Linked DNA regions of Callithrix jacchus. The protein of the gene in region 2 interacts with the protein of the main gene of each other region in a biochemical or structural test. Links are inferred from orthologs where the notes say so. Each region holds a gene or a part of one and is shown on either strand. Other genes may lie near its edges. The genes, in order: PLK3, CDC25C and CHEK1.

What was found.
Region 1: of the proteins of CDC25C (region 2) and PLK3, one has a biochemical effect on the other in vitro, tested with the Homo sapiens proteins (2 studies listed by BioGRID, with this or other methods). The link is inferred for Callithrix jacchus from reciprocal best matches to the Homo sapiens genes CDC25C and PLK3.
Region 3: of the proteins of CDC25C (region 2) and CHEK1, one has a biochemical effect on the other in vitro, tested with the Homo sapiens proteins (16 studies listed by BioGRID and IntAct, with this or other methods). The link is inferred for Callithrix jacchus from reciprocal best matches to the Homo sapiens genes CDC25C and CHEK1.

What each region holds. Positions count from the first base shown.
Region 1 is NC_133508.1:81,515,350-81,519,732, reverse strand, and holds the start of PLK3 (serine/threonine-protein kinase PLK3), read right to left. Parts: upstream 3,038-4,383; 5' UTR 2,942-3,037; coding exon 2,732-2,941; exon of another isoform or gene 2,566-2,731; coding exon 2,458-2,565; intron 2,370-2,457; coding exon 2,253-2,369; intron 1,810-2,252; coding exon 1,680-1,809; exon of another isoform or gene 1,662-1,679; intron 1,596-1,661; coding exon 1,508-1,595; intron 701-1,507; coding exon 605-700; intron 506-604; coding exon 307-505; intron 192-306; coding exon 65-191; intron 1-64. UniProt on the Homo sapiens protein: Serine/threonine-protein kinase involved in cell cycle regulation, response to stress and Golgi disassembly. Polo-like kinases act by binding and phosphorylating proteins that are already phosphorylated on a specific motif recognized by the POLO box domains.
Region 2 is NC_133503.1:36,753,483-36,757,868, forward strand, and holds the start of CDC25C (M-phase inducer phosphatase 3), read right to left. Parts: upstream 3,024-4,386; 5' UTR 2,897-3,023; intron 2,420-2,896; exon of another isoform or gene 2,378-2,419; intron 2,135-2,377; exon of another isoform or gene 2,133-2,134; 5' UTR 2,069-2,132; intron 1,965-2,068; exon of another isoform or gene 1,929-1,964; intron 1,775-1,928; exon of another isoform or gene 1,649-1,774; intron 1-1,648. UniProt on the Homo sapiens protein: Functions as a dosage-dependent inducer in mitotic control. Tyrosine protein phosphatase required for progression of the cell cycle. When phosphorylated, highly effective in activating G2 cells into prophase.
Region 3 is NC_133511.1:25,236,112-25,240,433, reverse strand, and holds the start of CHEK1 (serine/threonine-protein kinase Chk1), read right to left. Parts: upstream 3,060-4,322; 5' UTR 2,694-3,059; coding exon 2,681-2,693; intron 2,484-2,680; coding exon 2,399-2,483; intron 1,613-2,398; coding exon 1,389-1,612; intron 1-1,388. UniProt on the Homo sapiens protein: Serine/threonine-protein kinase which is required for checkpoint-mediated cell cycle arrest and activation of DNA repair in response to the presence of DNA damage or unreplicated DNA.

The DNA.
Region 1 (4,383 bases), on a different chromosome or scaffold from region 2:
AAGACAAATGTGACAAGCTGCTCTCCTGCTCTACCCCCTCAACCCAGTGACACCCAAGACTCACTCTTCTTCTTCTTTCTGCCAAAGAGGCTCTTGGTAACTTTGGCAAACAGACTCCTAGCCGGGTTGGGGGGTGTCAGGTCTGGGACTGTCACACAGCTGCTGATAGGGAGTCGATCAGGGGTGTAGCCCTAAGGAGGGGAGCCATGTGAACAGAGAATAGAGGCTCCAGGGGTCCTGTCACCTGCCCCTTTTCAATCGCTGGGAATACACAGACTGGACTTAGAGGTCTGGGGAGCCACAGACCTTGGCAAAGAAGTCATGGCGCAGGATCTGGTCAATAGAGGGGCGGTCTCGGGGTGAAGCCCGAAGGATGGCAGCCAGAAGCTGCCGGGCAGGCAGTGAGAGGCTGGCAGGCAGCGTGTAGTGAACCTGCTTGATGCAGCGATATGTCTCCTTCAGGTCTGCTGTCTCAAAGGGAGGGGTCCCACAGAGCAGCGTGTACCTGTAGGGCAGAGCCAAGGGGTCAGGAGTCAAGTGGAGGGGATGCCCCACCCACACACCCACCACCTATCTGCTGCTGACCCTGGTCCCTGAGACTCACATGACACAGCCCAGTGACCACACATCTGCCTCAGGGCCGTGGCCCTGTCTCAGTAGCACTTCTGGAGCCACATAGTTGGGGGTGCCACAGATGGTCCTGAAAGAGGGTGAGGAGGAGGAGAGAAGGCTGAGACGTAGCCCAGCAGCCCCCCACCCCTTCCCCCACTGCGAGTCCAGACAAAGCAGCTGCCTGTCACCAAAGGCCAGAGAGCTCCTGCTTGTCCTGGGACAATGGATGCCAGGGATGGCAGCTGAGTCCCTGCCTACCCGCCTGGCCCAGCTGCTCAGCTGCTCTTCATGACAGGGAGAGGGCCTGACCCCCAGCCCTGTCCCCTCCTCCTGGGTCAACACAGAGAGTCCACAGCTGATCCCTTCTCCCTTCCTGCACTCCTGTCTGTCAGACAGGCATCAGGCTGTCACCTCCCATGGTCTGTGCCACACACACGCCAACACCAGCTGTCACAACCCCCATAAACACTCATCTGCCACACATGCTATCTGTGTCCGACACATGCAGGGAGATGGCCACAGCAGGGTCTTCTTACACCCAGTGTCATGTCCCACCATTCCCACTCTCAGTCTGTCTCATACACCACATGCTGCCTGTCACCGTCCCCCATCCACACACAGGGTAAGTCATGTGCCTCCAAGAATCTGTATATCCCCATCTGTCTCAGGGATTCAGGGTTACCTACCCTATCTGTGTCACACATCTATAGGATCCTCCCTCTCTCCACCAATCCCAGTAACACAGGCTGCCACCTCCACCTTCACACACGCATAAACAGCCCATCATCCCTTCCCATTTATCTCATGCAAACATCAGACAGTCATCTGGCCTCCTACATACATATGCACTGTCTGTCACATATGTCACACACAGACTCCTTTCCTCAAAACTCACTTCTTCCTCTGCTCTGGGGGCTCCAACCGGGCTGCCAGTCCAAAATCCCCCACCTTCAATTCCATGTTCTCAGTGATGAAAAAATTTCCTGGATGGGGAAAGAGAGGTGTGTCAGATTCTTCCTTCCTCCTTCCCTCCCCAACCTCCCATCCTCAGGGCTCAGGAGTCTCACCCAACTTGAGGTCCCGGTGCAAGATGCCTCGCTGGTGCAAGTACTTAAGGCCTGAAAGGATCTGCCTCAGGTAGTATCGCACCTCTGGCTCCAACAGGGTGTGGCGGGCCTTCCAGATGTGGGCCAGGGACTGCAGAGAACCACTGCCTCAGCCCCTGTTGGGACCTCCCCCACCCCCTCCATCTGTGCTCCCTGTGGAAGAGACAGGGCCCCAGCTTTGGGTCTTAAGACTCTCTTCTCAGCTGGGGTGCAGTGGCTGATGCCTGTAATCCCAACACTTTGGGAGGCCGAAGTGGGCGGATCACGAGGTCAGGAGTTCGAAACCAGCTTGACCAACATGCTGAAACCCCATCTCTACTAAAAATACGAAAATTAGCTGGTCGTGGTGGCGCCCACCCGTAGTCCCAGCTACTCAGGAGGCTGAGGCAGGAGAATCGCTCGAACCCGGGAGGCGGAGGTTGCAGTAAGCTGAGATCGCACCACTGCACTCCAGCATGGGCGACAGAGCGAGACAACAAAAAAGACTCTCTTGTCTCCCTCACCCTCATCCCTGCTGGAATCACCATCTTTCACCTTTCGGCTGCAGAGCTCCAGGAAAATGTAGATGTTGTCAGCATCCTCAAAGTGGTGCGAAAAACGCACGATGTGGCGGTGCTGCAGGTCTCGGTGCAGCTCAATCTCATTTAGGATCTGCGATGAGGGCACGGGGTCATCATCCTTCCATGGTTCCCAGGCCACCGTCCCCACCCCACCCCTCGCAAGCTGAGCCTAGACCCACCTTCTCACGCTGATGCGGTTTGGCGACGCGGCTCTGTGGGATGACTTTGACAGCGTAGGCGCTGCCAGTCTCTGTGTCAGTAGCCTCGTAGCACCGGGCGAAGCCCCCCTGTGAAGAGGGGGCATCAGGCTGGGTGTTCCAGGGGAGGCCGAGTCTAGCCCGCGGGAGTCCCCGCGTTACGGTAAAGCGCCCACGCCTGGCTTGGCGTCAGAAAAGAGGCCGGCCGGGACCCCCGCCTCCACCATCACCACCCCGGTGACGTCCCCCGGCCCACCTTGCCCAACAAGCGGCCTTTGAAGTAAGTGCGGCCGCTGCGCGGGTCCGTGATGAGGCGCCCGGGGTCTGACGCCGGTAGCCCGGCCAGCATCTCCAGCTCAGGTCCGGGCAAGGCACTCGGAGGCGGCCCGGGCCCGGCGGGGGGAGAGGGTGGGGCTGCCGCACGCTGGAAGGGGCGCGGGGACAGGAAACCGGCGGCGGGCTCCATGCGGGCGGCGCGTCGCAGCGCAGGGGCCCGGCTTCTTCTCGGTTCCGCCCGGCCCCGGCCGCGCGTGGCGCTGCCTGGATTTGCTACGCTGCGCTCGCGCCCGCGGTAGCCCAGCGTTTTTATCAATGAACGCCTGCCCCTCCCCGGCGTCTCGTCACCGAAAGTTCCGCCCCCTTCCTGGCGCGAGTCATGGAAAAGCCACACCCATTCCTGGACTTACGTCACCCAGAAGCTCCTCCCCCACCAAACGCACTTCCAAGCCCCGCCTCCTGGCCACGCCCTGGGGCGCAGCCCGTTTGCCAGTCACTGTGCAGGTGCGACCAGGCCGCAGGAGCCAGCTGATCCCTGTCCGTCTCTCACCCCTCCTTGACGACTGCGAGTCCCCCTCATGGGGGCCTCTTTCTTTCCCCATCCTTTGGAAAGTGTGCTGAAGTCCGAGTGGGACCCGGGCATCTGGAGGCGTCTCCCCAGCAACTAGATAGATCAGCGTTCTAGCCAGGAGGGGCGAGGCAGGGGCGGGCTCGCTTTTGCCCGGGCTTCTCACCAGCTCTCCCCTTTCTGTGTGCCGGACCGCGTGCGTCCCATGCCCTTGCCCGGGGCCTGGCACAGTGCTGCCTTCTTTAGGACCTGAGAGGAAGGCACAGTCCTGGCTTGCCCAGCCCTAGGGCTGCCTTGCCAGGTTTGGGAGTCAAGCAGAGCCTGGTATTTCAAGGCTTTTACCATGCTTCCAGGCCCATCTTCCGCTGCCCACTTCTACACTCTTGAGGGGCAGCTTTCGGGTTCCTGTGGACTCCCCAGTTCCCTTCCTCTGAAAATACCCCTGGCCTGGGTCAGCAGCCAGAAGGCCAGAAAGTGAAGAATGGGAATTGGATTTTTCTCAAATGCTAGCCACAGGCAATGGGGCAGCTAAGTCTCCGAAACATGTGGACCCTTAGATCCCTGCTCAATGCCCACCCTTCCCAGGGCCAGAGACAGAGCCCCAGGACCACTGGCCTCCTGGCCTTGGCTCTTATCTCTCTGCCCTCCCTTTGTGCCAGCAATCAATTACTATGCCATTCCGCCAAGATTTATTGAGAGTATCTGCTAAGTGCTGGACACTATCTCAAAACGAATCAAGGTCGCAGCCCTTACTTAGTTTACATTCTGCTTGATGGAAACAGACAATAGGCAAGCAGATAAACAAGGTAATTGCAGGCTGTGAAAAGTGCTATGAAGTAAGTAAACAGAAGAGCAAATGAAGGGCCTACTTTAGAAAGAGTAGCCGGTAAAGTAAACAAATATTTGCTGAGTACCCAAATCCTGTCAAGTTTATCTCTCAAATAGCTCTAATATCTATCCCCTTGGCTCCATCTTCCCCTCACACCCTGGCCTGGGCCACAGTCTCTCTGGTCAGGATGATTGCCACAGCTCCTTGCTGCTTTCCTGGCCTCAGTCTCAGGCCC
Region 2 (4,386 bases):
ACTCAATCATGTAATTAGTAAGCTTGGTTAATAATAAAAAGGGGAAGAGCTTAGCAGTGAAAAGCAAGGGCTTTTTGAATCTCTTTTAGACTGCTTTTTGATACTACCTCTACCTACCACGTGGGCAGTCACTTAATCTCCTGGGCTGTTTCCTTTGTCAAAGAGAAAGTTTTGTTTCATTGGATGACTGTAAAAAAAAATGAGAATATACATCAAAGTATGTAGGCCAGGTATGGTGGTTCACACCTGGAATCCCAGCACTTTTTTTTTTTTTTGTTCTTTTGTTTTGTTTGTGGCCCAGGCTGAAGTACAGTGGCATGATCTCAGCTCACTGCAACCTCTGCCTCCTGGGTTCAAGCGATTCTCCTGCCTCAGCCTCCGGAGTAGCTGGGATTACATGTGGGCACCACCACGCCCAGCTAATTTTTGTATTTTTTAGTAGAGATGGGGTTTCACCATGTTGGCCAGGCTGATCTGGAACACCTGACCTCAAATGATCTGTCTGCCTTGCTTCCCAAAGTGCTGGGATTACAGGTGTGAGTCATCATGCCTGGCCATTTGAGCACTTTGTGAGGCCAAGCTGGGAAGATCATTTGAGGCCAGAAGTTTCAGACTACCCTGGGCAACATAGCAAGGACCCTCTCTCTACAAAAATAGAAATAAATATGCTGGGCATGGTGGCACACCCCTGTAGTTCTAACTACTCAGGAGGCTGAGATGGGAAGGACTGCTTGAGCCCAGAAGTTCAAGCTGCAGTTAGCTATGATGGTCTCACTGCATTCCAGCCTGAGCAACAGAGCAAAACCCTGTTTCTGCAAAAAAAAAAAAAGCATGGTGTCTGGCACATAAGTGCAATTATTAGAAACTATGTGTCCCACACTTCATGGTGCCTGCCTCTGCTCCTTTTGCCAAGGGGAAATAGGCAGTGCAAGGTAAATCTCTCTACCCCTATTTTCTCAGTTATTATTGTACCTCACTTTTCCTCTACTCTTTTTCAGTTTGCAGACTTTGTGGCTCCTGCTTCCTCATCTACCTGGCTCTGTGAGGAAGATCCCCACCATTGGCTCTACTTTCCAGCTGATCACAGCTATTTACCTGTCCCAGTCATGAGTAAGGCACAAAATATTTACAGAGAACAGATGTCTTTCAGAGGACTTTCTGCTAAGTGTAATAGTGAAGATTACTTGCATTACTGCTACTTTCCAATCAATTGAAAAAAAATCGAAAACTTTGCATTACAAAGAGATCACAACACGAAGGCATTGTTTAAAGCCTCTTCTTCATCCACTTTTTTGCTTGTCTCCCTGAACCATCTGTGAGGCTGAGACTCAAATTTACATAAGAGCCAGAAACCATCAACCCAACCTCTTCACACACTAACGTCTACATTCAGTCTCTAAAAAAGACTTAAACTTTGGCTCATGTGGGAAGTGGTGGTAGTGGTGGAGACTTAATAAAAGGTGGTTTTGTCTTCCTGAAGTGGAAATGTAGGGCCGTCACATCTTTTCACCATCTGCCTGTTTCCTCCCTCCCTTTCTGTTTAACGAAAGTGTAACCACCGTACTTCTCCCCACCTCCCCGCACCTCCCCCCACCCAACGCAAGCAACTGAACCGCCTATGATGTCATAATCACAATCCCATTACCTCATCCTGCTGGGGGGGGGGCGGAGAGGGAGGATAGGGAGTGAACAGCCTTGGGCTATCCTGAGCTTTACAAAGTGTTCTGGGTGAGGGCAAATTACAAAACCGAGTGGAAACGGCCCCGCAACCATTGTAAGTCCTGGGTTTTTAAGATTCATGCCGATCCGGCAGCTGCAAGAGGGGCTCCTGGGACTCAGAGCAGGCCCTGATCGGCGCTTGGACCACACTTCCCAGCAGCCTTCACGCGGCGGACAGGTCCTTTGCAGGGGGAAGGGGGAATTCCTTCGAAGAGGTGGCCGTGGAGGGCGGAGCAGCAGAGCAGGTGATGGGGCACTGTGGCTAATTGCGTGACGCGGCCAGAACCGCGTGGGAGGCTGTAGTTGGGCCGACGGAGGGAGGGAGGCCAGGGGCGATGCCTTTGTTTACCTTCTTCCGACGGGGCCTCCCCCGCGGGTTTCAAGATGTGCCTCCGACTGGGACCGTCCACTTTCTGAGAGATTTTGAAGGGGTGACTCGTTAGTGAGGAAACCACCCCCATCCCTAAATCAAAGCGTCAGGCTACTTCCCGACAGCGCTATCTGAGAAAGACGTTGACAGAGACACCACACGGGGCTGCGGCCTCCGCGGGTGGCTCGAGGGGATTCTGCTAGCCGGAGCTGTCCCCCTACTCTCCTCAGGGACTCGTTGGTTCGCGCCAGCGCCTTTTAAGGGCACCGTGGGGCGAACGGAGCGCTCAGAGCTGCTCCGGCCGTGGCCCTGGGAGCTGGAGGAGCTGCGGTAGGTGGCAGAGGGCAGGTGGCGCTGGGGCCTCGGGGCGGGCACCTCAACTGTCCCTCCCTCCTTCCCTCTTTCCCCTCCCCCAGTCCTGCCGCCTGTGCGGCCGGGCCTCGCAGGCCGCCTCCGCGGGGAGAGCACGGGACCCGGTGGGGGAGGGGGTGGCGGAGTGCTAAGTCCCAGACCCTCCCCATCCCTTGCGTCGGGAGTTCGCTTCCCGCGGCCAGATGATGGAACCTAGTGGGAAGAGGCAAACGCCAGCCCCCCTGAGCAAGCCCTGGCGACCCCCCCCCGCCGCGGACCAGCGGACGCCCCATGCCCCACCCCGCGGGGACAGGCAGGGCAACAGAGGGATAGCTTGAAGATTGAAGGGGCCTAGCCTTTTGCTTCTTCATGGGGGTGGGGGAGGGGTGTTTCCCACTTGTCACCACTATTCCCACCAGAACCATATGGAAGAAGAGGCGGAAGGTCTCCACTTACCTGTTCGTGCACCTCCCTGCCTTCCTCATGTTTTCCTTCAGTCTCCCCAAGAGGTGTAGGGCTGGGACCTGGGGGAAGGTCCCCAAGGGATTTGTGACTCTCCTCCCTCTTGGCCTGACTTGATTCTACCTTGTCTAGGTTCAGCACAACCTCCGCATCCCTGAAACAGGAGTGTCAGGGGTTACTGCCATCCAGTAGCAGATGGGGTGGGGGTCCGATCTTTATTTTAGGGGGCTGATGGTGGAGGAAAAGCCTGGACTGAGGGTTAGGCCTGGTGGGGTTGCTGAGAGGGCCTAGCGGCCTGCTGCTCTGTGAAGGGCTAAGCCCTTGTGCCAGTTGTTAAACTGAGAAGTTTTAACTTGTTTAGTGAACGTTCAGGGCTGTCTCTACCCTTCAGATACACAAAATGGAAGGGGAAGGAAGGCAGCAAGATCGGGCTTCTTACACTTTTTTCAATGCCTGCTTGAGAAAGAGGAGGCCCCTCGCGGAGCTGGTTTGCCTTCTTTTGTGTCCTGGTTTGATTCCTTATGGCTTCCGTTCTGTTCCCCCTCTCAGCCTGGCCTGTTTTAGGAAACTCAGGCTGAGAGTATCAGTTGCGTGGTGGTAGTTGCATTGTTCCAATTACCGCTGTGTGTGGCCACATCCCAACAATTAAAATGCAGAAAAACACAAATTCACTCTATTCACCTATCCTAGAGATGATTGGGAGTTTGCTGTTGTCCAAATATCTTTCGAAAAGCTAGAGAGTTTGTTTCACTACCCTGTTCCTCCTAGCTGGTGAGCCTGAGGCCTGGGGTCTCTAGGGTAAAATCCTGCACTTAGGTTTCCTCTCTGGTTGATCTTTGAAGGCAGAGTTAAGAAACCAAGAGCAAAAGTGATATAAGCTTTAGCTTCTCCCATGAGAACATAGGGGAAGCAGCTGAAGGGAGCTCCCCGGAAGCTAGAATTTTGTTCAGGGTGGTAATAATTATGCATGAAAATGGTAGTTAACTCTAATGATGATTGACTTCTCTTGCACCTTTCTTCCAAAGAACTCCAAGTACATCCAGATTCATTTCTTTGCTCTTCCTTGTGGCCTCCTTCTGAGGTGTGAATGGGTTAGAGATGATTTCCTCTTTATTGTACAGTGGTCTGCCCCCAAGGTCACAGAAGGAAGAGCCTTCTTGGGCTTTTTTTTAGTGTGCAGGTGAGGGAGGATGGTATTCAGCCAGAGATAGACCCTGTTGCCTTCTTCATCTTACTGATATCATTACTTCTGACATTCTGAGGTCTTGAAGATTCACAAACAGAAATGAGAAATGGTAGTCTATGTGGACTCCTGATTTTTACAGGCCAGGTGGTACCTTTTGTACATTTTAGTATGTTATGTTGTTCCTGTGACAGGTTTAGATTATTCTACCTACTTTACATATGGGTAAACTGAGGCCAAGGAGTATTAAATGATTTGCCAAAACTCTCAGAAAATTAGATTTAATAATTAGATTTCTTGA
Region 3 (4,322 bases), on a different chromosome or scaffold from region 2:
AACAATTATGAAAGTTAGTTTACTGAATAAATATAATCAGGTAGTAACCATATAGCTTCTGAATTTGAAGCTTAGACATTATGAATGTACTTAAGCAAACAGAATCAAATGCCAACAAAAAATTCAGGAGTCCACTAACAGATACAGGGCTTAACTCACACATTCACCTGTTAGATGGCAAAACTAATATCACAGGAAAAATATAAAGAGAAAACCAACATCCAGATCAAGAAGGCAAGCCATGCCTTAAAAGCTGCTCTTCTAAAGCCCCTGCTTCCTCTTATACTAACACTTATTTATTCAGTATCCTTCAAATTCTCCCCTTTTTCTTCTAAATGCTATGCTAATATTTTTTTCATGCCTGAAATATGCCAAGGGAGAAGTCTGGGCAAATCTAAGCCAATTTCACTAAATATTTTACAGATTATACTTTTTATTATTTAACTTTTTTTTTTTTTAAGAGATAAGGTCTCGCTCTTTCACCCAGGCTGGAGTCCCTGGAGTGAGATCATAACTCACTGTAACCTGGAAGTCTAGAGCTCAAGCGATCCTTCTGCCTCAGCCTCCTCAGTACCTAGGATTACAGGCGTGTACCACCACACCTGGCTCAGATTTAAATATCATATAGTCTCACACTACAAAGTCACTAATGCCTGTGAAGTCCTTCATGAAACACAGTTTTATTATAAGAGTTCTTTTATCAGTTTTTTTTATACTTTGATCTCTCTCATTAACTCCATTTCTTTTACCCTCAATTCTCTCCTGAGTCACACTGGGGATCCTATTACCTGTATCAGTTTTTAATTGTTAATACAATAGCTTTAAATTATAAATTTAGATCCACAAATTTATTTTATGTACTTCTCAGTGTTCTGTAATATCAATTCTTTGATTCTACATAGATTAAGTATTAATAGCAAACACAGAATTTACCTAATATACAAAAAGCAATCCTAGAAAATTCTTAATTATTTCATGTAAACCGGAAGGAAACAACATGCTATAATTTTAGATCTGTAAATACATACAATAATTTCATGTAATGAGAATATCTACAAAGAAAAAAATTGTATAGGCAATACATTGCATTTAGGATACAGTGCATTTATGATGTACCATAAAACTACAGTTTCTCACTCTTAAATTTTTTAAGACACCAATCTTAATCAAAATCACTTACATAACTTGGGAAAGGAGTTTTCTTTCATTGACTCTACGTATGCTTTGATTATTAACACCAGTTTGAAAAATTCTTTAAAGATAATTTATTCCAATTTCACTGTTGCATGAGCAATTCTGAAAGGACAATGACTTAATAGCATACCCAAGATTTAAAAAACAAATTTAAAAACTTGTTTAGAATAATTATCTTAAATTTTTTTCCATACCTATTCTGTCAAAAAGCTCTCCTCCACTACAGTACTCCAGAAATAAATACTGGATATTGCCTTCTCTCCTGTGACCATAGAATTTTACAACGTTTTCATGATTTAGCATTTTATTGATACAGATCTCTTTCTTAATATTTTCTGGACAGTCTACGGCCCGCTTCATATCTACAATCTTCACTGCGACCGCTTCTTCAGTTATTCTATTCACAGCAAGTTGAACTCTAAAAAGGAAAAGAGTTTTAACATTACAGAATACCATTTCTTCTAAAACTTCCAAAGGTTATACACGACCCATCTAAAACTATTTTACCTTTATTAATTTCTCCACAAGGGAGAAACCAAGGAAATAGTTTCTGCTATGTTTGCAATAGATACTACTCCTTTTTAAAATGTGAAATACGACAGCTAACACTCCAAAGAAGTCCTTATGTTGTCACACAAGTCGTTTAATAAACACTTCATAAAACAGATTGAGGTAATTCTAAGCCACATCACATATGTACATATTCTACTCATATACTTTTAAGAATATTAATCCCATACTATATGTGCCTGTGTAATTGACCGTCCTAAGCATCTATGGGGTAGATACTATTATTGCCATCCTTAAGATGGTAAAGGAAAAGTACACAGTGACATTAGAAAGCTTGCCTAAGATCACAAAACAACGACCAGTTTGTGATAGAGCAAGGATCCAAAACCAAGCAGGCAATCTCCGGAGTCTGCTCATTTGCTCAATTAACCACAAAGCTTAAACCCTGAGAAACAATCTGTGGGCACAGAAACAATAACTTCGTGTCCCTTCCAGCTCTTTAGAAAGAAAACTTTTTTTTTTTTAAAAAAAAAGGGAAGAAAAAAATATTAATCCTAGTAAAAGACTGTGTAACTATAGTTGCCAAAAGACTTGGATCTCAAACATCTACTCACCAAGTCACCAGAGTATTAGACTCCAAAACAGTGAATATGCAGACAGAAAACAAAGGCAAGGTAAAAGAACTCAAACTCACTCTCCATAGGCACCTTCTCCCAGGGTTTGCACCAAGTCCCAGTCTTCCACAAAGGGCACTGCCATGACTCCACGGAGCACCTTGGCTGTAAAAGGCAGGAATCCAGAAAAGATGGAAGGCTAGAGTAAAATCACCTATGAAGCCACTGCGCCCCGCCTCTCCCCAGGATTCCCCACGAGCAATAACAGCTCTTGCCTTCCCCTTATATCTCATCCATATTTATCCAGGTCTTTCAACCACGAGCAACTATTCTAAACGTGGGCATTTTGTCGTGTAACTCACAATCGCTATTCATGCCACGCACACCGAAGGCTGAAATTCTGCCCTCCTCAAGCCTAGAGTAAATTAATCGTGGTGAAGAGGTGGTGGACAAATGCTTTCTGGGGAAAAAGGTAGGAGAGATGGGGGTCTGCGGAAGAGAGTAAGGGGATACAGGGGGCGGAACTGGGCAGAAGACGCCGCGGTAGCGCCTCCACCCAATCGCTCAGCTCCAATTCCCATCCCCGTCCACACCCGACCCGTCCCAGAAGCTGGGGCGGGGCCAAACTGCCTCGAGAGGAGTAAGAAGGACTGGGACCCAGAAGGACGGCGCCTAAACCCCAGGGGTTCCTAGCCAGCAGCAAGTTAGTCCTTTCTCCCCGCTCACTCCCTCCACCCCGACAACCGGAACCTCCTGGTACCACATTCCTCCACCCTCCGAAACCGCCCCTCCGCAGGAGTTTCTCCAATCCCCTGCGCTAGTCAATGCTAACTTTCTCCCACCTTGCCCGTCTCACTAATCTAGACCCCGAACTCCTTCTTTAGAATCTATTCCTACCCTACCGGCCGCCCTTCGTCACCGGGCTGTCCTTTGCCCACCACTGCAGGAATCCAAATGCAGCGCTTTTCCCGCCAAAACTTGCTGCCGCAAACGCGCGCACCCGTGCCGTAAAGCAGGACAGCGCGCGTTACCGTGTCCCACCCCTCGGAGGATCGGCTGCTCCAAAAGACTGACGGTGCGAGGTTGCCGCTCCGGCCCAGGGTTGCTTTGCAGTCGGGGAGAGATCCTGGCTGAAGAGATTTAAGGACGGCGGACTGCGTCGGCGTGAATTGAGCTCTGGGCCCAAATATGAAGTGGCATCCGGTGTGTGCGGCTCGGCTAGGCCGTGCTCGTCCACTGCCGGGCGGAGCCGAGGCCTCCACGCCGAGGGTGCGCGCGACCGACCGCGCTGCGCTTCCAGGCGGGGCTGCGGGCATCGCTCCGGGTCGCGCTGGACCTGAAAGGCTGCACCGCTACCTGCTTGAGGCCACCAGCCTGCGACAGGACTGTGAAGATCACAGTTAGTGGGTGCTGCAGAGTGTTTTGTAAACTTCAGCGTGCGGTACCCGTGGTGTTGGAGCCGAGAAACTAGCAGCAGCTGCTGAGAGCTGTGAAGAATGAGAGGAACTCCGTGTAGGGAGCGAGAGGCATCGAAATGACTGGCCACGCATTGTGTGTGTGGCGTGGGAAGTTTCCCAGAGAAAGAAAGCAGTTTATTTTGGAACTTGAGGTAAAGTCAGGATAACCAATTTTGCTTTTTGTCTGTGAACCGGCTCCAAAACAGTGCTTTAGTTCAGCCCAATCTTTTTGGAGGAAGACCATCTGCTTAGCTTAGTTCTTCTACAGACTTTCATTTTTACAAGCGGGGAGAGCCAAAGTAAATTTTACAATGCAAATTTAAAAGCGGCGTACAGAAAAGTAAATTCTGAGGAAACAGACTTGAGAACCAAATAGGAAAAACTGAAATAGGTATTCTCTGACGATAAACTAAACTGGAGCTCAAGGCATAGGCAAGATCATCTCCATACATTCTCCAGTACTAGCCGGGCGCAGTGGCTCGTGCCTGTAATTCCAGCACTTTGGGAAGGCAAGGCAGGAGAATGGCTTGAAGCCAGGAGTTCAAGA